4 linked regions of the Schizosaccharomyces pombe genome follow. The gene in region 4 interacts genetically with the main gene of each other region. Each region holds a gene or a part of one and is shown on either strand. Other genes may lie near its edges. The genes, in order: oxr1, sec28, mak1 and laf1.

What was found.
Region 1: mutations in laf1 (region 4) and oxr1 together harm fitness more than expected from each alone (negative genetic interaction), as found in Schizosaccharomyces pombe (one large-scale study listed by BioGRID).
Region 2: mutations in laf1 (region 4) and sec28 together harm fitness more than expected from each alone (negative genetic interaction), as found in Schizosaccharomyces pombe (one large-scale study listed by BioGRID).
Region 3: mutations in laf1 (region 4) and mak1 together harm fitness more than expected from each alone (negative genetic interaction), as found in Schizosaccharomyces pombe (one large-scale study listed by BioGRID).

Annotation. Positions count from the first base shown.
Region 1 is NC_003424.3:3,669,335-3,675,797, reverse strand, and holds oxr1 (V-type ATPase inhibitor and disassembly protein in response to oxidative stress Oxr1), read left to right. Parts: upstream 1-2,428; 5' UTR 2,429-2,698; coding exon 2,699-3,265; 3' UTR 3,266-3,872; downstream 3,873-6,463. Other genes in the region: ABC family Fe transporter Atm1, read right to left, coding at 1-272; DASH complex subunit Spc34, read left to right, coding at 1,004-1,498; translation initiation factor eIF2B epsilon subunit tif225, read left to right, coding at 4,301-4,358, 4,403-4,464, 4,508-4,632, 4,702-6,463. UniProt on the Schizosaccharomyces pombe protein: May be involved in protection from oxidative damage. Has a role in meiosis.
Region 2 is NC_003423.3:2,324,698-2,330,812, reverse strand, and holds sec28 (coatomer epsilon subunit protein), read right to left. Parts: upstream 3,340-6,115; 5' UTR 3,308-3,339; coding exon 3,277-3,307; exon of another isoform or gene 3,233-3,276; coding exon 2,397-3,232; 3' UTR 2,312-2,396; downstream 1-2,311. Other genes in the region: gpa1 (G-protein alpha subunit), read right to left, coding at 1-475; put2 (delta-1-pyrroline-5-carboxylate dehydrogenase), read right to left, coding at 3,911-5,557. UniProt on the Schizosaccharomyces pombe protein: The coatomer is a cytosolic protein complex that binds to dilysine motifs and reversibly associates with Golgi non-clathrin-coated vesicles, which further mediate biosynthetic protein transport from the ER, via the Golgi up to the trans Golgi network.
Region 3 is NC_003424.3:4,706,569-4,717,297, forward strand, and holds mak1 (phosphorelay sensor kinase Mak1), read left to right. Parts: upstream 1-3,140; 5' UTR 3,141-3,401; coding exon 3,402-3,470; exon of another isoform or gene 3,471-3,570; coding exon 3,571-8,421; 3' UTR 8,422-8,693; downstream 8,694-10,729. Other genes in the region: kinesin-like protein Klp3, read left to right, coding at 347-457, 511-610, 819-892, 938-1,091, 1,165-2,390; mug51 (variant protein kinase 19 family protein), read left to right, coding at 10,002-10,729. UniProt on the Schizosaccharomyces pombe protein: Involved in the control of the SAPK-dependent transcriptional response to peroxide stress. Also has a role in G2/M regulation.
Region 4 is NC_003424.3:5,248,109-5,254,751, reverse strand, and holds laf1 (clr6 L-associated factor 1 Laf1), read left to right. Parts: upstream 1-2,517; 5' UTR 2,518-2,717; coding exon 2,718-3,611; 3' UTR 3,612-4,232; downstream 4,233-6,643. Other genes in the region: RFC-like checkpoint protein Rad17, read right to left, coding at 1-979, 1,037-1,140, 1,184-1,394; vtc2 (polyphosphate synthetase), read right to left, coding at 4,585-6,621. UniProt on the Schizosaccharomyces pombe protein: Component of the RPD3C(L) histone deacetylase complex (HDAC) responsible for the deacetylation of lysine residues on the N-terminal part of the core histones (H2A, H2B, H3 and H4).

The sequences.
Region 1 (6,463 bases), 1.6 Mb from region 4:
TCATCTGGTACATCGGAAGCAAGTTTAACAGAAGTATTCAGTGGCTCTTTTTCTTTTGATTTGTTATTCCATAACGCTTTTGAAGCCGAATTATTTCCATTTCTAAGTGGGAAACATTGCTTAGATGCAAAATTGGAAAACCGCAGTATATGTTGAAGAGGTAATATATTTGACTTTCTTAAAACAAGATAAGTTCCACGAGAATTAAGAAAAGAGCGAGCTGGAATATTTCTTGGCGAGCTGATTAATTTCCAGGGACATCGTTCTAGCATTTTTATTAATACAACACTTTAAGATGTCAGAGCTTCAAGCTGTTAGTTATACCCAATATACTGCTCTTCTATTTAAGATAATTAAAGTTTTTAAATCTATATTTAAATAGAATAAACTTGGCTGATAGAATATGAAAAACAGACGAAACGTTCAGTCAGAAAAACCTCAAATAGCCTCCAAAGAGGCAACTTTTTAATAGATGGTATATATGAATAAAAGAACTAAGAGAAGGATAATTCTCAAACCTTTAGTTCTATAAATCTGGCAGACTTAGAAAGTTGTAGATTTTGATTAGATCACGATTGCGAAGTAGAGTCCAACAATTGCAAACTCATCAAAACTGCACTGAGGATTACGAAATTTTTAGCGTGTATTAACCTTTATAAAAGTTTTACATATAATTATTAATGGATAATCTGAGCTGAAGAAATGTGTGCCTAAAGCGTAAACGTAAGAATGATTCGGTGTAGCAAATAAAGGAAAATAGCAAGGAATGAACGCAATGCTTTACCTTTGTTAAAATAATTTGCTGAGCGAGAACAGAATTTCAAAAACAGGCACAGGTGATTTCCATTATATCAAAGATACCAAACGTTTATTACGTTTTGGTTAAACCACCTGCACACACCCAGAGATTGCATACACTTTTGGCAACTCTGGTAAAGTGAATTGAAACATACCTTTTACTAATTACGAGTCGAATTAGTGTTTTTGATGACTTATTAAATAAATGTCTGATTTGTTGAATTATTTACAGTCTATTGCTGCTACATCAGAAAAACTTTTGGAACCGGAAAACCCAAACGCAGCACGTTTCACAGACGCGGTGCTACATACTCATGCTATAACTGATTTAATTCGCGATACTCAGAAGGAAGAACTAATTGCAGCTGAGTTCAAATCTCTACCGAAGGATTGGAGTGAAAGGTTGGCATCAGAAAACCCTGCAGACTACGTTGCTTGTATTGAGGAACTACTAGATATATATCCTATGCAAGGTGGCCGTGAATATTTGGAGACTCTGGTTGAGAAATACAACTTACATATGTCAGGAATTGAGAATTTGGAAAACGTTTTACTGGAACAGAAAGAGCAATTGCAGCAACTTGAAAAACGACAAACCGATCAGGTGTCTGCTAGGGAGAATATTCTACAGCGTGAAACTTCTGAAATCCAAAGACTTGAAAGAGAAATTGAAAAAGTGAAGCAACTGATACAATCTTAGGAAGGCTATTTGCGTTGGTAGTCAGATCGACTTTTCGTATTGGTGAACATTTAGAAAAGGAGAAGCGAGGTCGTTGTTTTATCATGGATTTGAGCAAAGAACAAGAAATGTATTTAAGCGAGGATATAAAAGACCATGGACTCATTCCTTTGAAGTTACATCCTCAAAGAAGCACCCGAGATATTTCTGATTGCAGTTATCCTTCGACGTCAGATGATCGATCGGCTTACTCCCAATACAAACTGATGAAGCTGAAGAGGAAAAAAAGAAGTCGATGTTTTGATATATCATCCTTTAAAAAGCATATTGAAATGTCGCTTGCTAAGAAAAAAGCAAGTTCGTCTACTGTTACTTTGAAGGCTACAAAAGAGCTAGAGGATTATGAATACCTAGAATATGAAAAACATAAAGAGAAGAGAAGAGAATCTTTGGACTGTTTGCTCCAGGAATTCTCTAAAGCGGCAAAGATATTGAACGAAGATAATTAGCAAACTAAGTACATTACAACTCAGGAGCATAATAACTCATTGTTTTTGTAATATTCTCATTTATAGAATAGTATGTGAAAAATACAATAATGTTCATGATAAGTTAAAGACGGCAATTAGATTACTGGCTCAACGCCAGCTTTTGCATTGGACTCATTTGTTGTAATGAGTTCTTAATATTTATACAAACATAAGTACATACTTGTTCTTAAAAGTTCTAAAAGATTTTATTTAAGATATAAATAAAAGTTCAATAGCATAGTATGATAGCAAGTAATGGAACACTATGTATTTATTCTATATTTGATTATTAATATAGAGTAAAAGTCAGGTTCATAGTGTTTCTATTGACTCGTCAACTATAATTATTTTTTGTTGTTACTGAATGATAGAATTTGAACGAATGTTTTAATTGCTAATACCAAGGCTGCTGCTCCACCTTAACAATCACACATTACGCCAAAAAAATTATTTACTCGATTTCTCAAAAAAAACAATAAAAAAGGATCAATAAGAATACCTTTATTAAGAAAAACTTCTTCTTTGGAAAATTAAAGAATACACTTACTGTTGTTTATTTCAGTGTTTGTTATTGTATTCACAATTATTTATTTGTTTACTTATTACATAAGGCTAGTGGATCACCTTAATCTTTCTAACTACACACACCATAAGAGTACAAAATTTTAGCAAGTATTTTGTATCAATTGAAATGTTTAACTTTACAAGACAGTATAGTGTTAAAGACGGCTTAATAACAGATGAATTGGCCAGTCACATCGTTGAGAACTTGCCAGCAAGATATGCTTCTGCTGAAACTTGGAAACGAATCTATTCGTTGCAACATGACGGCGCATCTCTTCAAACAATGTACTTAGCCTGCGAAAAGGAAAAAGCTCGAAGCGGCCATCCTAAAGGGGCTTGCATTTTAGCTGTGCGCGATACAGACGGCGATGTTTTTGGAGTTTTTATCCCTGATTATTTAATTCCTGCACCTCATTACTTTGGTTCCGAGGAAACCTTCTTGTGGAAATATTTTCCTCCCAAAAAGTATGTACATTACCCTTTCGTAGGAAATTCCAATTTTGTTGCATATTGCACCAAAAGCTTTTTGGCATTTGGTGGGGGTAATGGAAGATACAGCCTTTGGCTTGATGGCTCTCTAGAGTACGCTTACTCTAGTCGTACTCCTGCATTCGAAAACAATCCTTTGAGCTATCGTGGCTGTCCTGACCAACGAATCCAAATCGTGGACATCGAGCTCTGGGTATTGGAGTAATATCAACTAACGAATGAAAAGAAAAAAGAAAATAAAAGATGGACTCGGAAATGTGCATCAGCCCAAGTTTTATATTTATATCAAGATTAATATTTTACCGTGCTTTCTTTATGACTAATTTATTCAACCAAAGACAATTTTATGCTGACTCTATGCATTGATTATTATTCTTAATTCAAGTTAACTCGTTGATTTGCATGTTCAATCAATGAATATCGAGTTTACCAGAAATTCGAGCCGTAGGACTCTTCCCTCCCATTTGTGATGTATAGCTTTCTATCATCAGCTAATTTTTAATACTTCTTCTCAATTCCGGAAGATTACGTTTGTTAATTGATCAAGCATGAATATCCTTGCTATTAATTTCTTTACGCCTTATGCATTGAGTGAACGAATCAAATGAAGAGCATCCCCAATATCTTCTCCCCAATTGTCTATTATTTATTAATTTTCTCTTTTTCTATTCATAACTTTTAATGCTACACTTAGTATATTTATTCACGTGGTTGCTTTTCATCAACAATTCGTATCGTCCCTAATTGACGAATCGATTTCTACCATCCACTTTATATCAGTAATAATAATTATTATGAAGTTTTATTTATTATGTTTCTTTTTGATTACCGTGTAAACACTTGAAACCTGTATTCAAATCTCGATAAACTACCATAAGATTAGTAAAATGTTTGCAACCACTACCCAATTGTAGAAAACAAATTGACAAAATTTACCAACTTAACAGGATAAATCACCGTTTATATCTTCTGTTTATTATGTGGAATTTTTGTGGTTACTTAAATAAAACCACTTTCTTTCGCCAATAAACTATAAAAGAAATGAGCTATGCAAATTTAATATCCTAAATTTAATTACTCTTTGATTATTAACGTCTTTATAAATTCCTTTTTAGTCTCTAGTTGATGAATTGTTTAGAATAATCTTTAAGTTATAAGGCAGTGGAGCACGGCATCCTTAAATGACTGTTTGGGCTTAAATGATATTGAGAAATATGTCTAATCCCTCTACATTGTCGAAATGCCTCCATCCAAAGGGCTGAATGGCAAGCTAGAAAAGCCAAAACACGCTCTGCAAGGTAATGTTTTTGGGATTCAAAAAGTGTTTGTTACTAATTTTTAGCGATTGTTTTGTCGGATTCTTATAATTATCGGTTTCGCCCTCTTACATTAGATAAACCTCGCGTATGCAATTACCAGTGTACACTTTAAGTACTAATATTATTAGTGTCTTCTTCCTTTAGCAAATACCCCTTTAATAGAGTACACTTTTGAGTTTTTGGCATTGGCCGGGGTGCAAGAAGTTTATGTATTTTGCTGTGCCCATGCAGGACAAATTCGAGAATATATAGAGTATGTGCTAAATTGAGGTCTTAAATTCGAATTTCTGATACGATATAACTAACACAATATAACCCACAGAAAGTCAAAGTGGAATCTTCCCTCTTCCCCCTTTAGTGTAAACACGATTGTGTCAAGAGAATCTCTGTCGGTTGGTGATGCTTTAAGAGAGCTCGATTCAAAACAGCTAATTACCTCCGATTTCATACTCGTATCAGGCGATGTGGTATCCAATGTGCCTCTAAACGAAGTTTTGAAAGAACATCGGAAGCGCCGTGAAGATGATAAAAATGCTATTATGACAATGGTTGTACGAGAAGCAAGTCCATTTCATCGTACACGCGCCCGTACAGAGAGTTCTGTTTTCGTGATAGATAAAAAGACCAGCCAATGCGTGCATTATCAAGCTAACGAAAGGGGAAAACATTATGTTTCTATGGATCCCGAAATCTTTAATGAGCATGAAGAGTTGGAGGTTCGAAATGATTTGATTGACTGTCAAATTGACATTTGCTCCAATGATGTACCTGCCCTTTTTACTGAAAACTTTGATTACCAAGACATTCGAAAAGACTTCGTATATGGTGTTTTAACCTCTGATCTTTTAGGAAAAAAGATTCATTGCCATGTTGCTAAAGAAAATTATGCAGCTCGTGTTCGTAGTCTTCAAACTTATGATGCTATTAGCAAAGATGTTCTTTCTCGATGGGTCTATCCTTTTGTTCCCGATAGCAATCTTCTTAACCAAACTTTTAGTTATCAAAGACATCAGATTTATAAGGAAGAAGACGTTGTTCTTGCTCGTTCTTGCATTATTAAGGCACGAACTTTGATCGGTGCCTATACCAAAGTCGGTGATGCGTCTGTGGTTGCGAATACTATCATTGGTAGGAATTGTACCATAGGCAGCAATTGTAGTATAGACAGTGCTTTCCTTTGGGAAGATGTTGTCATTGGAGATAATTGTCGAATTGGCAAAGCCATTCTTGCCAATTCTGTAAAAATTGGAAATAATTGTTCAATTGAAGATGGTGCTATAGTAGCTGCAGGCGTTGTTATTGGGGATAATACAATAATTGAAAAAAATAAGCGTCTTACAACTTTCGAGAGTCACTCTCAAGGAACTTTGAACGATCCATCTTTGGTAGGGATTGGTGGACGTGGTCAAGAATATCATGCCGAAGAGGATTCTGATGATGAGGGAGAGTTTATGGAGGCTTCAGGGCTTATTGAAAGTACAAATGAGTTACATTTATCTGATTCAGAATCTTCAGAGACAAGTTCGTCTTCTGAAGAAGATATGGAATTTATTCCCTTTTCAGCTAGACGCGATTCTGCCAATACAATTAACTCAGAGGATTTCGATGAAGGAGATTTCAACAAGGAAGCTCAGCAGAGTCTTGAACGTGCCTTTGAAGAAAACCACCAAATTGATATTGCTGCTCTTGAACTCAATACCCTCCGAATGGCCATGAATGCCAACTATCACGAGGTGCGATCCGCAATTGTTCTTGCTCTTTTAAGGCGTATCATGCACTTAGATGTATCCCCCAAGGAGGCACTAGCAAAAGTAATGACACGTTGGGGTCCATTGCTTGCAAAACTGACATTTAGCCATGAAGAGCAAGTTGACAACGTATTAACGCTGCAGAAGTACTGTGTCCGTTTGAGTATGACTCGGCACTTTTTACAACTTTTGGGATATTTCTACCAATTAGAAATTGCTGAAGAGAATGCCATTCAAGAATGGTATTCTGATCCCCGCTCTAGCGAAGGAGAATTGGCTGCGCTTCGTGATGCCGGTGGCAAACAATTTGTCGACTGGTTGAATACTGCTGAAAGT
Region 2 (6,115 bases), on a different chromosome or scaffold from region 4:
ATGGCTCATTGGGTTGAGAAGTGTGTTTTCTTAGGATAACTGCCCGATACTTCTCATTTTCCGGAAGTAAAGAGACATTACTATTATCCATAGCTTCAAGAAGAAGACATAGAGAGGAGATGATATTTTCAAAAATCATCACTCGATACTGCTTTCTAACTACTTGACTAAAACCGGGGCTATACAATAATCTCATCTGCTTCATAATGGTCGTTTTCCCACTATCACCGGCGCCTAAGAGCAAAACTTTAATGTCATTTCCACCTGAAGTAGAATTTCCTTTTACGCGTACTCCAGAACTTTCCACATTTTGTGGTTTTCCACGCAGGACGATATTAAGCCAGTTTTCAAGGACTGGAACTCGAGCGTTTTGACTTCCAGTTGTAGAGCTGTTTGAGGTTTGCGTATCTGAAAGCTTCTTTTGAATGACTTCTCCTCCTGATGTATCAGCGTATTTACTCGACATGCATCCCATGGTGAAAAGGCAGCTACAGATTCCAAATCCCCACAAGGAGATAATTCAAAGTCGAGACAAAGAAAGTTAATCTCCGCAATTTTCTGTAAAAACAGCAGAAAAGGTGATAAATAAGGATTTTTGGATTAAAAAAGAAATAATAGATGTCGTTAAATCTCAAATATTTGTGAAGTGGACCCAACTATAAGCAAAAAACCCAATTGCCAGATAATTCCAAGAGATCCAAAAGAATACTATTATATAGTAAAAAGAAACTATTATTTAAACAATTTGGTTAAAAAAACCAGGAGGATTCTTTGAGAAAAATCGTGTAATGACACAAACAAACTTTGGTATTCGTAAACAGTCAAATTTATTATACTATCACGGTTGCGATAAGGTATTAGATGAAATTAAATCAAGAACTGTTTAATTTTTGAATGAGAAATCAGTGGATCAACTCCTTTAATGTAAACAAAGCAACCCAAAAAACAAAATTGCGTACAATTTACAAAGAAACCAGGGTTTTAATGAGCAGCAATGGTCTCCAACTATAAAGGGAGTTACAAATACCTGTTCTCCTTTAATACTTCCTAAATGGATACTAAGATTGCTAAGCCGTCAAAGAAGTTGAGATGTTGAAAAAGGTAACTACAATGCGTGTACACTATCAGGTGGTAAGCGAGCTATTAGAATTCGTAAGAATGAAACAATTACAGAAACAAAGGCTTTTTACTTATTGGAAAAGTGAAATCGTTATACTTTCACTGGTACGTGCTTATAGTGTCTTGTCGATTTTAACAGAATATTTTTTTGTATGTCTAGTGATCCAACGGACCTGGCAAATGTCAACAGTCCGAATAAAAGAAGTTTCTACAACAAAGACCTTATCTAAAAAGTTAAGTTGATAGTACTTCGGTGTATTTACATCTGCATTTTTCTCTAAGAGCAACATCCTCACAATATGTGCCCGCTTTCAATGCTATAGTGCGAATTTGGAAGAATGGGGAGGATGAAAATGTACAAATATTTGACAGTATGAACTTCAACATCATTTATTAATAGGATTCAGAATGAACAGTAGCAAGTATCTCTTTTACTCTGCGTACCGATTCAAATCTTAATACAACAAATGCGTGTATGTAGTATGTGTTAATACTACACAACAATCCAACTATTTTGAGCGAAGTAACGCTAAATTTACAAAGAGAGTTACAAACTGATACGTTCATACATGCTTATTTAAGTGTTCGATGTCGCAAAAATGAACGTTTGCTAGTTAAAGAGTTTTGATACATGTTGGGGTTAAGCAAATGTTGGCATATATAGTTGTAATCTGTCATGGTGCCACTGCCGTTTGAGCAAGTTCATCTTCGATTCTTAAAGTCTTATCGTTTAATATCGGTTTTCTTGCTTTTTCCAAATTCCAAACACCTGTGTATTTCAAAACATCTTTCTTTTCTATTTGTAAAGGCAAACTTGTTGCTTGTCATTTTGTGGCACTGCAGGTTTTGAGTAATTTTGGACAAGAACCACCTATTCTAGATTTTTAAAAACAAATATATAGGTGGATAGTCATAATAGTTCATTTTTAATTAATGAATGTATTTGATAAATAAAAGTAAACGGTTTAAAGACGCTCCTGTTGTGACGGCGTTCATTTAAATGTTTCATTTCGAGATATATTCGGGTGCGTTTTCTTGTTATTATGTCTACATGAGTCTTCTTCTGCATGCGGTTAAGTATTTCTAATTAATTAGTTTAATACCTTTACTTCTGGTAAACTTGAAATTTATCGAGGCAATACTGGATTGACTTGCTTTGCCAGACAGATCAACGAGCCATTACTTGAGTGAAGCAATAGTCAATGAATAAATACTAAAAATGCAAACATTTGAAGTTTATTAATGGATTGAAGATTCTAAACAATATTATTATTGGATTAAGCCGTACTCAAAAATTGAGTTGAAAAAGTATCAAATTCTTGCGCCTTTTCATTTAAATGATCGTTCAACTTCAGTGTAGAAGAATTTGTAAAAGATGAAAGTATATTCTTGGCTTGAGAAGGAGCATCAGGGCCTAAATCCGTGATTGCAGTAGTCATATTTGATAGTGCCTCCTCGTAATTTGGTTGAGAATCGAGGGCAGTTTTCAGCGAGCTCAAAGCCTCTTCAGGTCTCAACAAGCATATGTCTGCACACGCCATACCAGTTAAAGTCATTGGATTGCTATCAGTTCCGTTTAACTCTTCAAAAACATAAAATGCATCATTATAGGATTCGACGCCTCCACTAACTATTTTAATCCAAGATTGTGCCAGCTGTAGTACAATTTCTTCATCAGCCCAATCCAAAGCCTGTTTCAATGTCTGTTCAGCAGCTTCAATTTTGTGCTCTCGTAAATGAATGTATACTTGAAGCGCCACCGCCTCCAAGTTCTCTACTGACTTCTTTAATAAATCCATTGCATCATCAAAAGAACCATTTTTAATTTGAAAAATAGCTCCTAATGTTTGTACCACACTGTCTGAATTGCCATGCTGGTCAATAATTAACTCCATGTTCCCCTCCCCAGCCAGCGCCAGAATAGCAGCTGATCCAGGCGTTTTTTGAGTTAAAATACTTTGGATTGATTCTAAACTTTCACCTAAAGCTAATTTTGCCCTTGCCATATAAATTTCGGTCAATTCAAGACCTTTTTCAGACATGGATGTCGTGTCAATTTCAAATAACTTTGTATAGTTTCCACTATAAAAGTATTGACGAACAAAATACAGTTCTATCAAATATTAGTTGTTATTTAATTCCCAACTCATCTCTTACCATTAGATAAACTAGCCTCCCATGAAAACATGTTAAAAGTTTTAATTATGTTGGGCGATGTGTGGAGTAGAGAGTATGTGGGTTAATGGTGTTTGTACATGAGTAACCCTACAACAAAATGTAAAGCAAACGAACTTTCCATCAAGACTTGTAATTTTTCTAATTGCTCCGAAGCCTAATATAATATATTTCGCAGTCAGCAAGTAAAATGTTCGATAATTGAGATCCTTTTTCTACAGGTCGTTGTTGTATTCAAGAATCACCAGCAAACTACATTTTGGTCCACTGGCTTTTATATACAATGCAACAAATCTAGTGTTATAAATCAATACATGTTAACAAAGCGAACATTATAATTTATTAGAATAACAAATGGCGAGCTTTAAAAAAAAAGAAAAAAAAAAATTGTAAAACCTAGACTACCTTTGAAAGTTTGAGTTTAACTCAAGGTAACTAATCAATATATATATATATATATACTTCCTTTATTCCTCACATATTGTACTAAACCCAAAAAAAAAAAGGTTGTGGTCTTTTTTATGGCAGTATCAAAGTACAGAGTAAAACACTCTACAACTCCAATGTCTATCTAAATTCTAAAAATTAAATCCAAATCAAAAAGGCCAAAACAAACTTAAAAGTTGGAAGGGTATAAAACAGAGTCTGCATAAGCAAACGTATCTTTGATGGAGCGAGGAGAAACGAATCGAGACAGAATCATTCCGCTACCAGCTTTATCGTTAGTACCACTGGCACGAGCACCACCAAAAGGTTGTTCACCAACAACAGCACCAGTACACTTATCATTGATATAGAAGTTACCAGCGGCATTACGGAGACGGTCAGTCAACTTTCTGACAACAACACGGTCCTGAGCGAAGATGGATCCGGTTAAACCATAAGGAGTGGTAGTATCGATGAGATCGCAAACAGCGTCTAAGTTGTCATCCTCATATACATAAACAGACAGTACGGGGCCGAACAATTCGTTAACGAATATATCATGTTTAGGGTTTTTAGAAAGTAAAACGGTAGGTTCAACAAAGAAACCTTCGGAATCATCAGCTTTACCGCCAGCCAAAACTTCAATTTCAGAATCGGAAGCAGCACTCTCAAGAACCTTCTTCAGTTTGTTAAAGCTTGCTTGATGGATAACAGGGCCCACAAAATTAGCAAAATCAGTTAAAGGAGCACCGACCTTAAGAGACTTGACCTGTTTGGTAAGCTCATCACGGAAACCATTTTCCCAAGCATACTTAGAAACGTAAAGACGAGAAAGGGCAGAGCACTTTTGGCCTTGATATTCGAAAGCAGCACGAACAGCATTAACAACGGCACTCTTAATTTCAGCGGAAGAATGTACAAGATGAAAGTTCTTACCACCAGTCTCACCGACGATTTTGGGGTAAGTGCGGTATTTTCCGTTGGCAACATTCTCGCCAATTGTTCCCCAAAGGCTACGAAAGACGGCTGTGCTACCAGTAAAATGAAGACCAGCAAACTCAGGGTGGTTGAAACAAACCTTGGAGACTTCAACAGCGTCACCAGGGATAAATTGAAGTGCTCCAGCGGGAAGACCAGCTTCACGGAAGATTTGGTAAACAATGTAGCTAGAAAGGACTGCATGGTCAGAAGGCTTCATTAAAACGACGTTGCCCATGAGAAGGGGGGCAGCAGCCAAGTTACCAGCAATAGCTGTAAAGTTGAAAGGAGTAATGGCATAAACGAAACCTTCCAAAGGACGATATTCCATACGGTTCCAGACACCAGGAGTGTTTTCGGGAGGTTGGCTGGCATATAATTCACTAGCATACTTGGTATTGAAGCGAAGGAAGTCAATGATCTCCATTCCAGCGTCAATTTCAGCTTGCCAGATGTTCTTACCCTGGCCAATCATTGTAGCAGCCATGAGCTTGTAACGGTACTTGGTGCTTATCAAATGAGCAGCCTTCAAGAAAATGGCAGAACGGTCAGCAAAAGGTAAGGATTCCCAGACCTTCTTTCCACGAAGTGCTGCCTCAATGGCATCTTCAACGTGCTTGGCACCAGCACGGTGATAGCGAGCAACGACCTTTTTGTGCTCAAAAGGACAACGCTGCTCACCAATGGTATTCGTTTCAACTTCCTTACCATCAATGATGACAGGGATAGTGACAGGTAATTCAGCCTCTAACTCCTTGTAGGCCTTGACGATTCCCTCTCTGTCAGCACTATTGGGACCATAGTGTTTAGGAGGCTCGTTCTTAATGGCAGGTAATTTGAACTCAGCAAATTGTGACATTTTACTTAAAAATGAAATAAATCTAATAAGTATTAATATCGCATAAATAAAACGTAGAAAACCTAAAGATAGAAAGCAATGAAAAGACGCGTAGGGGTCTCACTCAAAACAGTTATTACATAGATATAAATACTTACTAGTTTCAATCCAAACGTTTAAAGAGCGTTAGAAATCGTTTCCTTTCTAATCGCCTGTATTGAGGTATTGGTGTTCTGGAAATATCCTGACAGAGATTTGCCTCTTATATATATACTCCTATATATTCTTATAAACAGGTAGTGTCGATGTGATCGCACTCCGTGGAATTTGCAATTTTGCTTAAAAAATCAGCTAAAATATTGATTATGAGACTTATAGAAGTGAACCCTGAACTTGTTGGTCTTTGGTCGTATTATTTGATTTATTTCAAAGGGAAGTGTTTTAACTGCTTTTAATCACACTCGGACATCTTCACATTATCTTACCGAACTATTAAATAGATAGCCTGAAGGCTTGGAATTGTATTTCGCTTAAATTGTAATCTAGCGCAAATCTTTATGATTGTTAATATTAAACTCT
Region 3 (10,729 bases), 540 kb from region 4:
GTAAATCTTCAAATAATATCAGGAAAAAAAGAATATGTAGAAGGAAGTAAACAATTTTAGCCTGTTGATTTGTAAATTTATTTTTTTTAATTCACACTTCGAGCTTTAACATTAAACAATTATGTAGTTAATTACATGATATTATTCTGTTTTTGATACGTTGCCTTAAACAACAATTATTGTAGAGGCACCATGTTAGGTTAACCTCGTCTTTCCCTGTATATGAAATTAGCCCGCTCACATATTGTCTTTAATGATTTTTTTGGATGTATGGATCTAATTTATATACTGCGTTTTAATCATACATTATTTGATTTTTTATCTTTTTATAAAGCAGTTTTACTCAATGACTTCAATTAAAGTAGTGTGCCGAATTCGGCCCACGAACCAGTTGGAACAAGACCTTGGAGGAAATAATGTGATATACCCATTAAACGATTCTACTGTTCATATCGAGGTAGGTTTCAACAATTGATCTTTACTTTAGAATTCGGCTGACATGATTAAAAGACTAGTGATTACTCAGGAAACTTTGTATTCGATCGTGTTTTTCATCCTTCTAGCACTCAGAATGATATATTTTCGTATTCAATTGAATCGACAGTCGATGGTATGTGAATGATAGTAAAACTTTACACGGCGTTGAACGGATTAATTTCATCGTTGTCAGCAACAGCTTGTATGAAATTATAGCATAGCCTTTTTTTATATGCGCTCGTTTTGACGCTTCATTTGAAACGAATTGCCATTTTAATACATTGTTCGAATCACATTCAAGTTGTTCTGAATTTCATTAAATATGTACTAATATATTATAGACTTATTCTTGGGTTATAACGGAACAGTACTAGCCTATGGACAGACAGGATCCGGCAAAACATACACCATGATGGTATATTCACAATTTCACCTGGCACACTTTTCTAACAATCTTTAGGGTATTGAAAATAATTTCGAAAAAGAAGGAATGACTCCAAGAATGCTCAGGCGTATTTTTGACAAAATCCGCGATTCACCATCTACTACTGAATACGAAGTGAAGGTATCATACATGGAAATCTACATGGAAAAAATTCATGATCTACTTTCCGGTAAGCCTTCAAATGCCGTAGAAATTTTGCGACGTTCGTATTTAATTTCAGCAAAATTAACCATGATTTACAGAAAAAAATGACAGACTGACGGTTCATGAAGATAAACTTCAGGGAGTTTATGTTCAAGGTTTAAAAACGATTTACGTATCAAGTGAAACGGAGGCATTGGATATTTTAAATAAAGGTATGGGGTCACGTGCCGTTGCAAGTACGTCGATGAATGCGCAAAGTTCACGGTCTCATTCTATTTTTGTACTCGAAGTTGTCCAAACGGACACTGAGTCCGGCGAAACTCGACGAGGCCGGTTGTTTTTAGTTGACTTGGCAGGTTCCGAAAGCGTAGGAAAAAGTGGAGCAGTCGGGCAAACCTTAGAAGAAGCAAAGAAAATAAACCGTTCTCTTTCAACTCTTGGAATGGTTATTAATTCTCTCACAGACAGCAAATTATCACATGTTCCTTATAGAGATTCCAAGTTAACGCGTATTTTAAAAGAGTCTCTTGGTGGAAATTCTCGGACCACTCTAATTATTAACTGTTCACCAGATTCATACAATGCAACAGAGACCTTATCTACTCTTAGGTTTGGACATCGTGCAAAGAGCATCAAAAACAAAGCGGTAGTAAACTCAGAACTTTCTGTTGATGAAATGAAAAGACAGCTGTATATTTATAAAGATGCTTTGTCTCGTTGCGTTTGTGGAGCCAGAATTAACAATAACTTAGACTATAATAATTGTCATTCTAACGTATGGTCAGGCGAGCATTCCCTCACACTGTCAAATCTCGCCGAAAAATCCAACTTAAAGGAAGCAGAAATCATTCAAGGAAATAGAACAATTCAGGAAAGTAATAATGACAGAGACGAAAGCACAGTTGCTTCGATACACAGACATAACTTTGATTCTGATTCTATCAATCGTTTGTATGCTGAAGCACAACTTGAACTTAAACAACGAGATGGTGTTTTATCATCCACTAAACAGCAATTGTCAGACCTTATGACTGCATTGGGCGATGCTCAGGAGCGGTATGTTGAGCTTGTTAAAAACCACAGAGTAAATTCAAATCTTACTGCAAACAACTCATTAAATGACAAACCGGGTTTTACAATAGAACAGAAAGATAAAAATTTTTCGATAAATAACGAGAGAAACAATTTTTTACAAAAACTGAGTACTTTGGATTCCTCACTGGCTGCTCTAGTAAATGTTCAACGAAAATTGATTAAAGCTTTAATTTCCAAAGAGCGACCTCAAAATGGAACAGTAATTAAGAAAATTCAAGGGGGCACTTAAAAGCTACACTTTTTTACTCTGCTTTGCGAAGGATTATATATGTTTAATTAATTTCTTTAGAGTTGTTGAGCTCACATTTAATCATGAAATATTGCATCTCGTCTAGCTGCTTTCTGAATAAACTAATTTTCTGACTAATTATTTATGCAGCTTCTTTTATATTGCTGCAGCATTATAATATAAAAGAAAACAGCTACGCAGCAATGCATTGTTTATATGCTTATTCAGCAAATGTGTAACATCTCAAATGATGATGTAATAACAATTCAATAAAAATTTACCGTTATAATATAATCAGCGAATTTAGTAATCTGAGACTACTATTCTTTAGCAAGGATTGACTATTGGCTAAGCAATCATTACCTTTTTTAAGCTACAACGAACTGTAGTTTAAGTGTTACTTGCGATGTATATAATCTTATGTAGGATGTTTATCGTAGATGGTAAAATGTTGTATCAATATAATTATGATATTGAATACACTAACATAACCACACATATATGGCTTATAACTGAAGTCAGGAAAGAAGGTTTGAATGTATCAACATAATGCATTGTTATAAAACTACTAGTATAGAAGATTTACACTAAGGATGGAAATACGGAGAATCATGAATATTATGAAAAGTTGAACTAACGCAGCACAGTATAGTGTAGTGACTTGTTTCTAACAGAACGATCATATTTACTAGCCACCAATCTTCGCTAAACAACATTTACGCGATCTTCAATATCCATTTACATTTTGCTAACACAACTTGTTGAGTTGTTTCATTTCCCTATTTCGAACACTTTTTACCAATCTTCAGTGCTGTAAAGTCGCTAGGAAAAAAGCGTTTTAAATGGTACGCTTATAATTTCCATTGCTGGTTGCCGTGGTCAAATAACTCAAATACATCAGTTTTTTATTTGAAACGATCTTTATAAGATAGCACTTTCTTTTTGGTAATTACAGTTGGAAACTTTGTTTTATTTAGTATCTATACTGGCCTGTAAATTTAGTCTAAAAAAATGAGGCCACCTGACGATCAAATCAACAATAACGTTGGTTCTAATTCTCACTTGGAAAAGTTGAAAGAGGTAAGTGATTTCAATACTTGGATTCTCCTTTTTTAAATATGAAATAAAATGTGATATCTCTTGTTACTTAATTAATTTAAATTACTAACGTTTGAATAAGGCCATGGACCACCAGCTGCAAAAATCATCAAAAATTGTAGGATCGTTTACTAATTCTCAAAACTCTTCTGTTGGCTCTGTTCATTCTCCGATACTTGAATCTCCCACCAGTTTAAATAGGCAGCATCGAAATTCATTTTCTTTCAATAATGTATCTTCTCCTTCACTAGAGGATGAGCGACTTATTAATTTTCCCCGAGTAAATCCAAATCGATTGATGACATCCAAACGTCCCAATGAGTTATTTAAAACCTCCTCAATGAGTTCAGATTGCTATTCTCCTCAAAAATCTAGGGAATCACTAAATTCATTATGCCATTCACCTGCTCCATCCGTTTCTTCTTGTGGAAATGCTTTGAACAACGATAATACTTCTGCTTCGCACTCACTAACTGATGAGCAACCATTTGAAACAGATTCATCCGCTAACTTATTTAAGCAGTTACAGGAGAAGCGTAACCGTACCATTGGAAATGTGTATGAAATGGCTTGCTTATTGGTCTTTAAAACCGGTTTGATGAATTTCTGGAAAAACATTATTGACTTTTTCGCTCAGCAGTTTTTTTCCACTCAAATATCTGTTGTAGAACCGCGTGACCTTTCTGACATATACAATACTCCTTGGCAACTCAGATGTTATTACGATGGCGGTTCCCATTATGATCCGTATAGTAACCCTATAAGTGTTAATGACAACCTTGCTAGCAGTTCTTATGTTACCGTAGTTGCTTCGGATGGTTCAAAGGGTATTATATACAAAGATCCAGCTTCTCTTAAACATGAAGGGGATTTGCTTATTGATAGCAAAGTTGTACAAACAGTCTTGGAGCGTGCGACATTGCTTGTATATACACGTAAACAACAGCACATTGTTAAAAACACCAAGGTTCATGATAATGATTACTTTAGTTCTATACCTAATGTTGATGATATTCGCAGCATTAAGAATTCATGGAAAGTTTTTCATGATGAAAAACTTAATGAATTGAAAAAGCAGGTTGAAATTAGTGCTTCTGCAGCTCAGTTAAATGGACTTTATCCACAGAAAAAGAGAGCATTTGTTTCACATTTCAGTCAGAATCGTAAACCGTATTCCCAAAGTGACATTTCAAAAGCACAAAGTTCGTCTTTTTCGGAAGAACCTTCAAACATTTATGATGAGTATGAACAAAATTTACTTTCTCCTTGGTCAAGATCTCCAGTTGCTAGTCCCTCCATTCAAACAGATCCTAATAGGAATCCATTCTTCCAAAATTGCTTGCAAGAATCTTCTTTCGCTACTGAATCGTCAACAGAGAAGTCTGCTTCAGAGTCCGTATCAGAAACAGCTGTTAATGATGATTGTAAAGGTATGAATTTTTCTGGTAACAGGCGTCAAGAAGATCATTTGAACGACTTCACCAGTTTTCCTACTGAAACTGCTGTCAGTATTGTACATGTTCCTCTGATGTTTCCTTGTTCGGATCAAACTTCAAGCCGTGGGAGAGCTCCAATTGCAATTCTTTCTTTCAAGTCCAATTTAGTTCCTTATCCGGAAAATTTAATAGCCTCCATAGAACGTTTGATACCCTTTATTTTTTCTTCATACTCAAATTCTCAATCTGTTCCGTTACTTCCTTGTCCTACACAAAGGCATCTATTATTTAACACGTCTAGCACTGACAATACCAAGGAGTTGAGTATGAGCGCGAGCTCCGAAAACTCTGATTGTCCTCATAAAGAAGGAGAGTGCGTAGGCAGCTTTTGCAATATCAATGCTAAAGGATCTTCTCTTAATAACATACCTAAATTGCCTAGGTTTGTACCAGTTCCTTCTGAATTTTTTAAAAAAAACCAGCGATCATGGGTTACTTTAAAGAAGCATCGTTTGCTAGCTAGATTGAAGTCTCGAATTAGCAAAAAGAATTCTAAAGTGAACGAGAATTTGAGATTCTCGCTAAATGATGGTGAAAATTATTCAAATGAAACTATTACTCTAAAGAAGGATGAAATTGTTTTAGATAAATCAAAATCATATGCCTGTTGCACTTCTGAATCTCACAAGTATGTGCAAGGGCATTGTGGTGGTCAAGCGCCTCCTTTTCCCTTACTAAAGGTTATAATTGATTCTATACCGGTTCATGTGTTTACTGCGGATCCGGGAAGTGGAAAACTCACATGGGTTAATAGAAAAACTCTTCTTTACTGTGGTTTAAATATGAATGAGCAAATAGAGCTACAATTTAGTCGAATTCATCCTGATGATCTGCCAAACTTTTTAAATGACTGGAAATCTTCATTATTCTCTGGTAGTGGTTTTTATCATGAAATTCGTTTGCAAAGGTTTGATAATGTTTATCGATACTTTATCTGTCGCGCGGTTCCTTTACGGGATTGCACTGGATCTGTGCTACATTTTTTTGGAACAATGACGGATGTCCATGATCAAAAGTTGGCAGAACGAGAACTACAAAAACAATCAGCTATAGCCGCAAATGAAAACAGCTACAGGTCTTTAGCTGAAGCTTCTCCTCAAATTGTTTTTGCCGCAAATGGTAAAAATGGAATTATTTATGCAAATGCGCAGTGGTTAAGTTATTCAGGTCTTTCACTGGAATCTTCATTGGGACTTGGGTTTTTATCTGCTGTATATCACGCTGATCGCAAGAAATGTTTATTGCCTGAATCTTTGGAGGGAACGTTTAATAACCAAGACGAAAGTAATGGTACCAAAACGTTTGCGGCGGAGATACGTTTTAGATCTACCGATGGTCATTATAGATGGCATTTGGTGAAATCTGTTTGCGTAAATAATTCTGCTGATACGTCTACTAATCTCTGGTTAGGAACTTGTACTGATATTCACGATCATAAAATGTTGGAAGAAAAGCTCCAAGAATCTAACATTGAAGCTCAAAGAATTGTTCGGAGCAAAATGCAGTATCTTTCCAATATGTCTCATGAAATTCGAACCCCTCTTATCGGTATTACAGGCATGGTAAGCTTCTTGTTGGAAACTCAAATGTCTGCCGAACAGCTGAGTTATGCACGTATTATTCAGCAATCAGCTAAGTCTCTTTTGACTGTTATCAATGATATTTTGGACCTTAGTAAAGTCAGAGCTGGAATGATGAAGCTAACTAGCCAACGCTTTTCTGTACGAGCTATGATGGAAGATGCAAACGAAACTCTAGGTACCCTCGCTTTTTCAAAGGGAATAGAATTGAACTACACGGTTGACATTGATGTTCCTGATATAGTATTTGGGGATAATATGAGAATGAGGCAAGTTGCTTTGAATGTGATCGGAAATGCTATTAAATTTACGAATGTTGGTGAAGTTTTTACTCGTTGTTCCGTTGAAAAGATTGATTACTCAACCAATACTGTTGTTTTAAAGTGGGAATGCATTGATACCGGTCAAGGGTTTAACAGAGATGATCAATTACAAATGTTTAAACCGTTTTCTCAAGTAGAGAGTTCTACATTACCAAGACATGGTGGCTCAGGTCTTGGATTAGTTATTTCAAAAGAGCTTGTTGAGCTACATAATGGTAGTATGTCCTGTCAAAGTAGAAGAGGCGTGGGAACGCGCTTTATGTGGACTGCAACGTTTACAATGGATAAAACTCCTCTAAAATTTGAACCCCCAGATGGTTGTTGTCCAGTCTGTTTTTGTCCATACGAAAAAAGCAAACAAAGCACAGAAGACTATTATTGCGCAGACGATGGAAACGATAAAAGCGCGACGAATTTTGTAAAATTGGCCGTAAATAAAGCAGATCCCGGAAGAGAAAGCAACCGACGTAAACTTGAATCGGACAAAAATGTTCAATCCAACAAATATGTGAATCCTTTCGCTTCTGAATCGGAATTTTGTCGATGCGGCGCATCTGCTGATCCATACACAGTTCTATTTTGGAGACTCTATAGAAACAAACCTTCTGGGATCAAGTTGGATAAAAGTGCTTTAGCCGTTGTTGTATCACACACTAAATACAGTAGTGAAGCGATTGGCAACATGCTTCAATCAATTATCGATATAAGCTCATTTAAAGATATCGTAAGGTATGGAAATACCTATGAAGCCTTTGAAGAATTGCTAGAGAATCCTATGCAATCCAAGGTCACCCATATTATATTAAATCTTCCGGACATAGAAGCATATGTTTTATTTGTCAAATCACTGCAACTTTGTAGTCTATACAAGGATACAAAATTTATTTTGGTGACTTCCACTCGACAAAAAGAATCATTATCTAAGATTTTTTCAGATAGCGAGGATTGTAATTCGGAAAGCATCCATTACGTTTTAAAACTTGTGAAACCATCCAAGTTTTTTCCATTATTTTATTCTGATTCTGAGGAAAAGGGGAAAATCGGTGCACTTAATGATATGACTCGAAAGGCTGCAATGGAGCAGAAGGCTGATGCTGAAACACTCCGATATAATCTGGCAAAGTCTGGCTTTAGCGTGTTGTTGGCGGAAGACAACATTATCAATATTAAGGTTATAAGCCGTTACCTTGAAAGAATTGGTGTCAAATTCAAGGTCACCATGGACGGTTTGCAATGTGTTGAAGAATGGAAACGTGAAAAGCCTAATTTTTACTCTCTTATTCTAATGGATTTACAAATGCCTGTTATGGATGGTTACCAGGCATGTAATGAAATTCGTAAATACGAATTGGAAAACGATTACCCTAAAGTTCCTATAGTTGCACTTAGTGCGAATGCTTTACCTCATGTTGTTTTAAGCTGCAAAGATAGTGGTTTTGATTCTTACCTTGCCAAACCTATTACTTTGCAACACTTGTCCTTAATCATATCTGGCATACTTAATTATACGAACCAATCAAAGTTACACAAATGATTTGATATTTAATCTTCACTCACTTTTGCTTGTATTTTTAGAAAGGATCTCACTGTTTTAATGCTTTTATTTTTACTTTATATTTTTTCTTTGTTTTGATCAAAAGCTTATTTAGTGCCTATATTTATTTAAATTGACAACTTCTTATTTTGAATATTTTCCAAAATAATAATTATCTAAGCATCTCATATTTTATTTTATTAACTTTTTAATGCATTTATATTTCCAGCGCCCAGAACCAGTATAATAATATTAAATATCACATATTCCCCTTGTTTAATGTAATGTGTATTTTATTGGCAAGTTAAAAAAAAAATTGTATTGTGTGCTAATCAATCAGTTTTGAAATACAAACCAAATTAAAGTATAGGAAGCAGTCAAATAATCAATTCGAGGATACATTCTCATTGTTAAATGCAAACTTTAGGTAATTCGTAATTAGCTCTTGTAGCTCAGTGGTAGAGCGCTTGCCTAGTAAGCAAGAGGCCCAGTGTTCAAGTCACTGCTGGAGCAAATTTTTTCCCTTACCATAAGCGTAAATTATGCTACACTTCACTATGCATCACTACATATATTTGTTCACTGTGTAGACAGGATTTTTATTCTAATTCCAAGGGGAATGCTATAAGCCAGTCCAGAAAGAAAAAACAAGTTCTTGGTTGGTATCAATACCTTTCGTCGTACAAAGTATATTTAGTTCAATTACTGGCTTTGCCTACAACCGATTAGATAATGCATCAATACTTATACTACGTTATATAGTATTACTATTTTACATGTCAGCAATACTACACTAGCTACATGTAAGCTACGCAGTTTGGTATCTGATTTAAGGATACGTAGAACTGCGGTGAGTTTTCCTTGTGGTCTATTATATTACAATACACAGGTTGTATAAGTAGCAACTGAGTATAGGTATTGTATTAACTGGGTTATAATGTTACCTATCACTAATATAGCTCATAACTGAACTGAGGAACGAGGTTCAGTTGTAACGCTATTTATAATATTTCTAAATAGTTGTTATCAACGGGTATCTATGTATATAGACGGATAGTTACCCGTGATTATCAATAAACGGATCTTAGCTAGTATTCCAACATATGACATATAGTGATACGCAACGTAATGTATCATAGCGTAGTGTAGTATTGCTGACACTACAGTTGTGCAACACTCACTGTATGCCATATGTTAGGATTTTAGTTCAATCCGTGTATTGATAATTGCCGATAACCACCCTTTTATTAATTTAAATAGACTCCCACTGTTATGAACCATTAAAAAGATTATAATGAAGCCACCACTAAACCTCGTTCCTTAGCCCAACTATAAACTATTTTACTAATAGGTTACATTGTAACCCCAAATTTAGAATATCTTTAACGAGTTGCTACTTATTTTCCTGTACTACTGTATAAGTCGCAAGGAAAACTCACTGCAGTTTTTCGTATCGTTAAAATAGTTATTAAACTGCGTAGCTGGCAATTAAAAAATCACTGCGTTAAATGTTGAAGGTGATGAAAACTCGACTAACGAAATTTCTGTAAAGTAAGTTACTTCCCTTACCTACCTTGGCAATGCCTGCTTTATTAAAAATAAATAAAAAGAAGAATGGACAGACTAAAATAGACAGACTGTTTAGCAAAAGGAGAAAGACTTCTTTAGCAATTGAAAAAAACCACTCTAAAGCATCTATGTGTACTGGTCAATCACCATTAAACATCATTTCGTACAATGTTCCTCCATTGATTGTATTAAGAAACAAAACGATACGAAACTCTATAGAAGTTTTAGTTGAGGAAATGTTTCGTGACATTCAAATGCGCCAGCAAACGAATGTTTTAGTTGCACAGTGTCCGCGAATGATTGTGGAAACACAGTTGATAGGCTTATTTCAATCAAACTATACCAGTGTTGCTGAAGAGTTAGAACAATCTATACGTACAGGAGACATCCGTCGTCTTTACCTAAATAGATCTGACAAGTTCTGTGGTGAGTCTTGCTTAATTTTGCGACCTGAGTTTGATAAATTATTTACATACTATTTGTGCAAGTTCAAAGATCAGGAACATATTTATACGCTAATCTTTAAGTTGCATAAACTATTGATTGAAAATCCACTACCTTCCTACACATCCGAGGAGTTGAAATTTAATTGGGAGGAACGACGACTGCTGATTAGTATGGGCTTTCTTATTCTTGCTGGCACTGACTCTTACGGAATCTCATTACCCAACCTTGGCATTTTTACTCATATTTTGCGTAACAGCAGAAACGACTTGTCAAATTATTTAAAAAAGAGGCC
Region 4 (6,643 bases):
TTATTCGTTCCGAATTGCCCGTTTGCTGAGATGAAGCCTTTAGCACTTCATCATCTCCTTCCCGTTTGTTCCATACAACTTTTCCAATGGCATGCATCATTCCAAGGCCAACGTCCTTCTTGAAAAACGAATTCTCATTTTTATCGGATTTTGGGATATACGCACTTTTATAATTTTTAAATCTTGCGTAGGCCTCCGAATCGCTTTTTGACAATCGTTCAAGAACCTGCGCAGCTTCTAAGCTAAAATCATTCCCCTTTCCTTTCCCCTCTTTTACTTCTCTAATATTTTTTGTTCCTTTCTTTTCAAAAGATTGAGAGATCGATAATTGTAAGGAATTTATCGCACTCCTCAAATCCCCTTCGCTGGCAGAACAAATATTCTCCACCAAACTCAACAACTTTGGAGACTTGGGAACACCCTCTTTACGTAGAATAGAGCCAAGGCATTTTTTCATGTATGTCGGCGCAATAGGATTAAACTGTAAAACTGTTACACGTGGATCCTGAAGTAGATCATTACCCATTATCTGCACGCTATTAAAGGAATTTCGATCTTGACTATTAATACCTTCCAAGTTGTTTAACTGTATTTCTGTAAGAACCATGATGATGGAAAAGGCGCCTCGCGATGTCAATGCGGTGCGAATGACATTACGAAAAGCATCAAGAGAGCCATTGAATTTAGAAAGGTGAGGAATTTCATCCAAAAAAATAAACTTTTTCTTTCCTTGTGCATTTTTTCCACGCTTTTGAATATTATTTGAATCCATAAGCTCTAACTCTGGATAAGTTTCGCATAAAGACATAAATCTACTAAACTTTTCCGTGAGCGAAAGTGTATCTGATTCTTGGTTTGAAGGCTCTTTTAGGTTCATAGGGTTTAGCCATTCTATGAGACTATAACCTAATTCTTTAGCCAAGACCTGAACTGCGGTACTCTTTCCACAACCAGAAGGACCACAGATCAAAAGTAACCTCTATGATTTTGTTAGCCAAGAAATATTTTTGAGAGAATTAGGGGAGATTTAACATACACTTTCTAAAGAATCCGTTAACATCCATTGCTTAATTGCACTTATTTTGCTTTTATGCACGGCAAGATCAGCCGCTTTTTGAGGAATGTATTTTTCAAACCAAACTATGCGCACCGTTAATTTTTGAACCTTTTTAAATTTTCTTACGTTGAAATCGATCTTCTTTTAAATTATTGAGATGAACAATTTTGTTTTCTTCATCAGAAAAGGCTTCAATATCTTCTTCATGAATATCGGTTATCGAAGCATTTTTGTCGCGTGAAGTTTTTGAAACTAGAGAAGGTTTTTCAATCTTTCTTATTTTCTTCTTTTTTAATGATCTCTTTGTAGATTCATGAAACGACAACTGTCGCCTCATGCCAGATATATGTTTTATTCAACAAAGAAATAGGAAGCTAAAGGTAGAGACTTTGTAAATCATTAGATAAAATATATATTAATAGTTCACAAAATTTTAACAGCACAAAAAAACGAGTGAATTGATTAATTTACTGCTGACAAGTAAATGTGTGAACTAGTGAAAATATACAAGTACTGTATATGGAAGAGAATAAGTGAGTAGGTTTCTTAAGTACTCTGAAACTGCTTCCTATAAAGAAGAGTAAAAAAGACATGTGTATAATTTATTTATAAATCATTTATTTGTACATTTCTCTTATTGTAAGATATATTGCGAAAGTATTTATTACAAATTTACTTTTTTTTCTCATACTGTAAACAATGATCATCAATAAAAAAGTTAGCTTTTTAATTAATGAACATCTGAACGATAAAGAATGAATAAATAAACAAGTAAAATAGTGATATATTTCAATTGAGAAATTACTCTAATGGACACAGAAATGTATTTCTCTTCATTTATAAAATCAAACAATTGGCATTTTCAATTATGTCGTATATGAGTGCATTAGGAACTAGCAGCTGGAAAGGCAAAGCTGTAAATATTAAGAATATAGTAATGAGTATATTTAACCTTGATTTGGATTGCGACATTACACTGGAAACCAAAGGAGGAATTGTTTCATTAGAAGCAGTCTAATAATCCAATGTTGCTGCATCAAAACTCCCTATTTTGTTGATAAACATAGTTAGCCGAGCTCTAACTCTTTAAGAACCGATATGAACTCCATTGGGAAATGAGCAAGAATAGAAATCAACCAACACTACAGAAAGTTCATACCCATACATCTAATGTGGTACTTTTAATCCCCTATCCATCAGTATTTCGCTTGGCTTAATTATATTTGATGGGATGTATTTCCTTTTTGGAATTGATTTTTCGCATAATACTGGAAACAGAAACCCTTGTGAGCAAAGAAAAACTTGGGAAACCCACTTGATTAATATGGCAAATAATTTTTTTCTTCAAAATGGCATTTATTTTCCATTTTGTATTTACCATTCAAGTAACATGTTTTTTTGACAACCTAACCCTACCTACCGGTTTCGACATGTGTTCCATCCATCCTTGGGATTTTACTAACACCAACAATCGTTTGGCATAAGGTGAAACTTGGAATTGCTGTTGGCTGTAAATTTCATCTAAAGTCGGTCGCTCTTTTGACTTTTGCATAAAAGAATTGTACATAAAAACAACAATTTGGAGTAATTTCAGAGTCTACTTGATTTAATTGAAAAGGTTATCGACAGCTTGCTCGACTTTATCAAGGAAAAAGGTAAGATGAAATCGAGTCAAACGCTTGTTTATTCGATCCCTAGAAATGTGGAGAAGGACACATGTGCGGCAGCCATTAAGGCATATCAGTACCTAATATCTCCGCCGCCTTCTCCCATTCCAAATGACAAAGTTGCAAGTACTGTTGATGTACCTAAGTGTTCTACAATACCTGAATCTCCAAAAGATTCTATTGTGGAACCAAAGCCGACAGCAACACCTGTTGCGCAACTGCATTCCAAGGTTTACGATCTGTACCGAGATTCACCTAAAATTTGGCTTCGCCGAGAAAGGCAATGGCTTCAGCGTCATTCTCCAGCATACAGGTTTTCGACTCCAGCTGCCAAACGTCCAAGAAGGCAACCCAGCTCGTTTCTGGATGTGCACGCTTCTAATACCCGTAAAAGAGGTTCTCCTGATACGCCGGACTCGGGACATTCAACTCCGCATTCAAAAGGAGATGTTCATCCTGGAATGCCTCAACATAATACGCGTTTCAAGCAGTCCAGTAGGGAGTTTTCCTCCAACACCCAGGCCATTGATGTCGCCAATACACCATATGAGCTATTGCCTGATTATTCTCCTGATATGTCTGTTTTGGATAAACGTTCTCATCCTCGCCCCCTTCGTAGCGAATGGAAGGGCCCTCCCCTTGATCTTTCCAATGATGAGAATAGACACCTTTTACATCCTGCTGAGCTACAGTTGGCTGCAACACTTCGATTGCCTTGTCTCGTTTATCTTGACAATAAGCGTAGAATCTTTGCTGAGTGGCACAATCGCCGTACTCAAGGCCTAAGCTTTAGGAAAACAGATGCTCAACGTGCTAGTCGTGTCGATGTGAACAAAGCTAGTCGTCTTTGGAAAGCTTTTCACGATGAAGGTTTCTTTGACGACTAATTCGCGAATCGTTCATAATCCTGCTGGCCTTTCAAAAAATAGATTTTTTCTCTCTTTTTCTCTTTTGGCGGGTTAGGGAAATAATCAAATTTAAAAATTTCGAAAAACCACGGATTTCATTTTCGTTGGATTATTTATTTTTTTCTAGGTGTTTTGAATTTTTTGTTTACAATCATTTGCATCTCGGTAAAACCTTTCTTTTTTTTTTTGGATATTTCGTCTTGAAGTCGGTGTCCATCGTTTTATCTGGCCAATAACCAGTAGTATATACCTCAAGTCCCTCTTTTCTTCCTTCGTTCACTTTTTGTTTTTTTATCCTCCCAAAGATGAAAAGCATCATGTAGTCAGCATTTGTATTAAAAAATTCATTAATACAGATGTGAAATAACTCTCTTTTAAAAACGTTCGTTTCTCCTATTTACAGTAGATATTGTTATTTTTATACCTAATAACCGATAACCATCAGTTCCCTAATCAGACGGATTTTAGGGGTTTTTAGTTATTTTACTCTACTCAATTAGATCCAATGCTTAGCGGATAATTAATAATTGATTATTTATTCTTTGCTATTAAATTAATTAAACCATAGAAATTATAATGGATGTCCGACGTTAATATCCCAGTATTAATATACCCCAGTGTTGTAATGTAATGAATATATGGTCAAATCCAGCTTTTCTTAATCCTTGCAAAAAAAGTAAATCGACACGTAAAAACTTGCAATACCCGTGCAAATTTTAGTAAAAACCGATAACATATATCCCCAAACCAATTAACCAATATAATAACCCAAGAGCCCTGCTCTAAATGAAGTTTTCAATCTTATTGCAATTTTCAACTTCACATTGCATCTAAATCAAGAATTTACTGAAATGTTATCTTCTAGCTTTCTAAAAATTTATTGCATTTAAATAGTAAATCCAACGTGTAATAAAAGTTGGAAAAATCCCATGTTGAATGATATCGAAACTTCTCAAGTAAACAATTTAACAAGCAAACGATCAGGTTCAATGAGATTTTGATAAACAGCATCCTTAAGTGCAAATGACATGTTGACAATAAGAGAAATAGCCAAAGCTGTTCCTACAATCAATGGGCCCCAATAATCAGTCATTGGCGCAGGACTGCGGGACTTGATCATTTGAGAACGCTTGGCATGAAGCTTCCAAGCATAGAACCCAATGAAAATAGCTAAAAGAGTATAAACTACTCCAAAAGCCTGACCAAGTCTTTCTCCAGCACTATTATATAATGCAAGAGCAAGAGAACCAAGCAAGACCACGACATGAAGCCACTTCAAAAACGTACGCTCATTTGCAAGCCAAACTTTGGCCTCAACCTTAATCGGACCACTGACTCTAAGCGGAATCTCTGGTTTCTTGATATGGGGTGGAGTAACAAACGTTTTACCATGATGCTTAAACGATCCATAAGTAGATGGCTTCAGCAAACCAGGTATGCTTCTGAAGTTGAAATGGTCTCCGTGCTCATTTCGATACACCTCTCTATTATCTTCGGGCTCTTCTGAAACAGGGTGCATTTCATTGGCCTTTAAACGATTGACCAAAGGTGAGGGTTGACTAGGTTCGGGTGTCATATTCTGCTTTAAAACTCTTTGATTCCTACGTTTAATGTAAACATTTCGAGAGCCCGCAGATCCCTCGGGATGGGAGTACACCTCTTGAAGATCTTTTCGAATATCTTGATCCATTGAAAATACCCACATTGGTAAAAGAGATACGTATTTTTCAAAAAGAATTGCAACACCATGCTCATATTTCGAAAAACCATCAATTTCAGAAATTAAATGAGAATTACGCAATTCAGAGATCCAAAGAGGTTCGTCTTCATCATATCTAACACATTCACGGATTTCTAGGACACTATAAGGGAAACGAGAATACTCTCCTTTTCTTAAGTGCTTATATGGGAAATCAGCATCGTCAATATCGTGACGATGCCAATCTTCGGGGTCTCTACAAGGACGTTCGATGTCCAAAGAGTCTTCACGAATCATAACCCAGTCTGAGTCAAGATTGATACGAACCTCATCATCGCCTGGAATCTGAAATGCGGTACGAGTGTAAACAGAACGGAGAACAGGCTGCAAGTGATTGTCAACGATTAGCTGTTCAACATCTTCAATTAGTTTCTTCTTCTGATCAGAAGCAGTTGTCGAGTGATCATCCTCAACCTTCCTAAAATCATATCTCCCACTTAGAAGCTCTCTAACCTTCTTCTCGCGGATAGTGAACCGGTCTTCACTATGTGAAAGAGTACTTCCTTGACGTACCATTCGTTCAACGATAATATCGGTTTTGGGAGTTAACTTTCCATACCAATGAAGTCGCAAAGAATAAGCCTGTTCTGATCGTTCCAAATTTTGAGAATATAAATCAAAGTTGGAATTATCTAAATACAAGCAAGTTGATATAGGATCCAAAATTCCAGATACACCATTTTGGTCTTTGTCAAATCCTTGCTTTCCAGAGTAATAAAGAACAGGAAGATGCCTCATAATGTATGTTTTTACTTCCATCACATTATCAGGATGGACCCAAAAACGAAACGTACGACGACGATACATACTAGAATTGTAATCAACATTGTGCTCATGCTTCGGTTTCACTTGCACGGAGTTACTTGGTGCTGAAAGACCATCACGTAAAGTATTATAAAGAGAGAAAATTTCAGCTAAAAGAGGATTAAATTGGACACTGCCTAAAGGACAAGCGCGAAGACGAACCTGAAACACAGGACGAAGAGAATAGCCGGGATAAAGCTTATCATGCTTCTTAACGATTTTAAAGAAACCTGTTAAGTTAAGACGAGTGTACTTCTCCAACTTCTTAACCGTTTCAGTACAAGAATCCAATCGTTCTAGTAACTTGATGGCTTCTTCCTTAGAAATGGGAGGACCATCAGGTTCCTGAGAAGCAGAAACTTTAGATTTTACCCAATCCACTGATTCATTTAATTCTTTCAAAATTTCGAGATGAAATGCATAAACCTACAGAAAATGTTAGCAAACG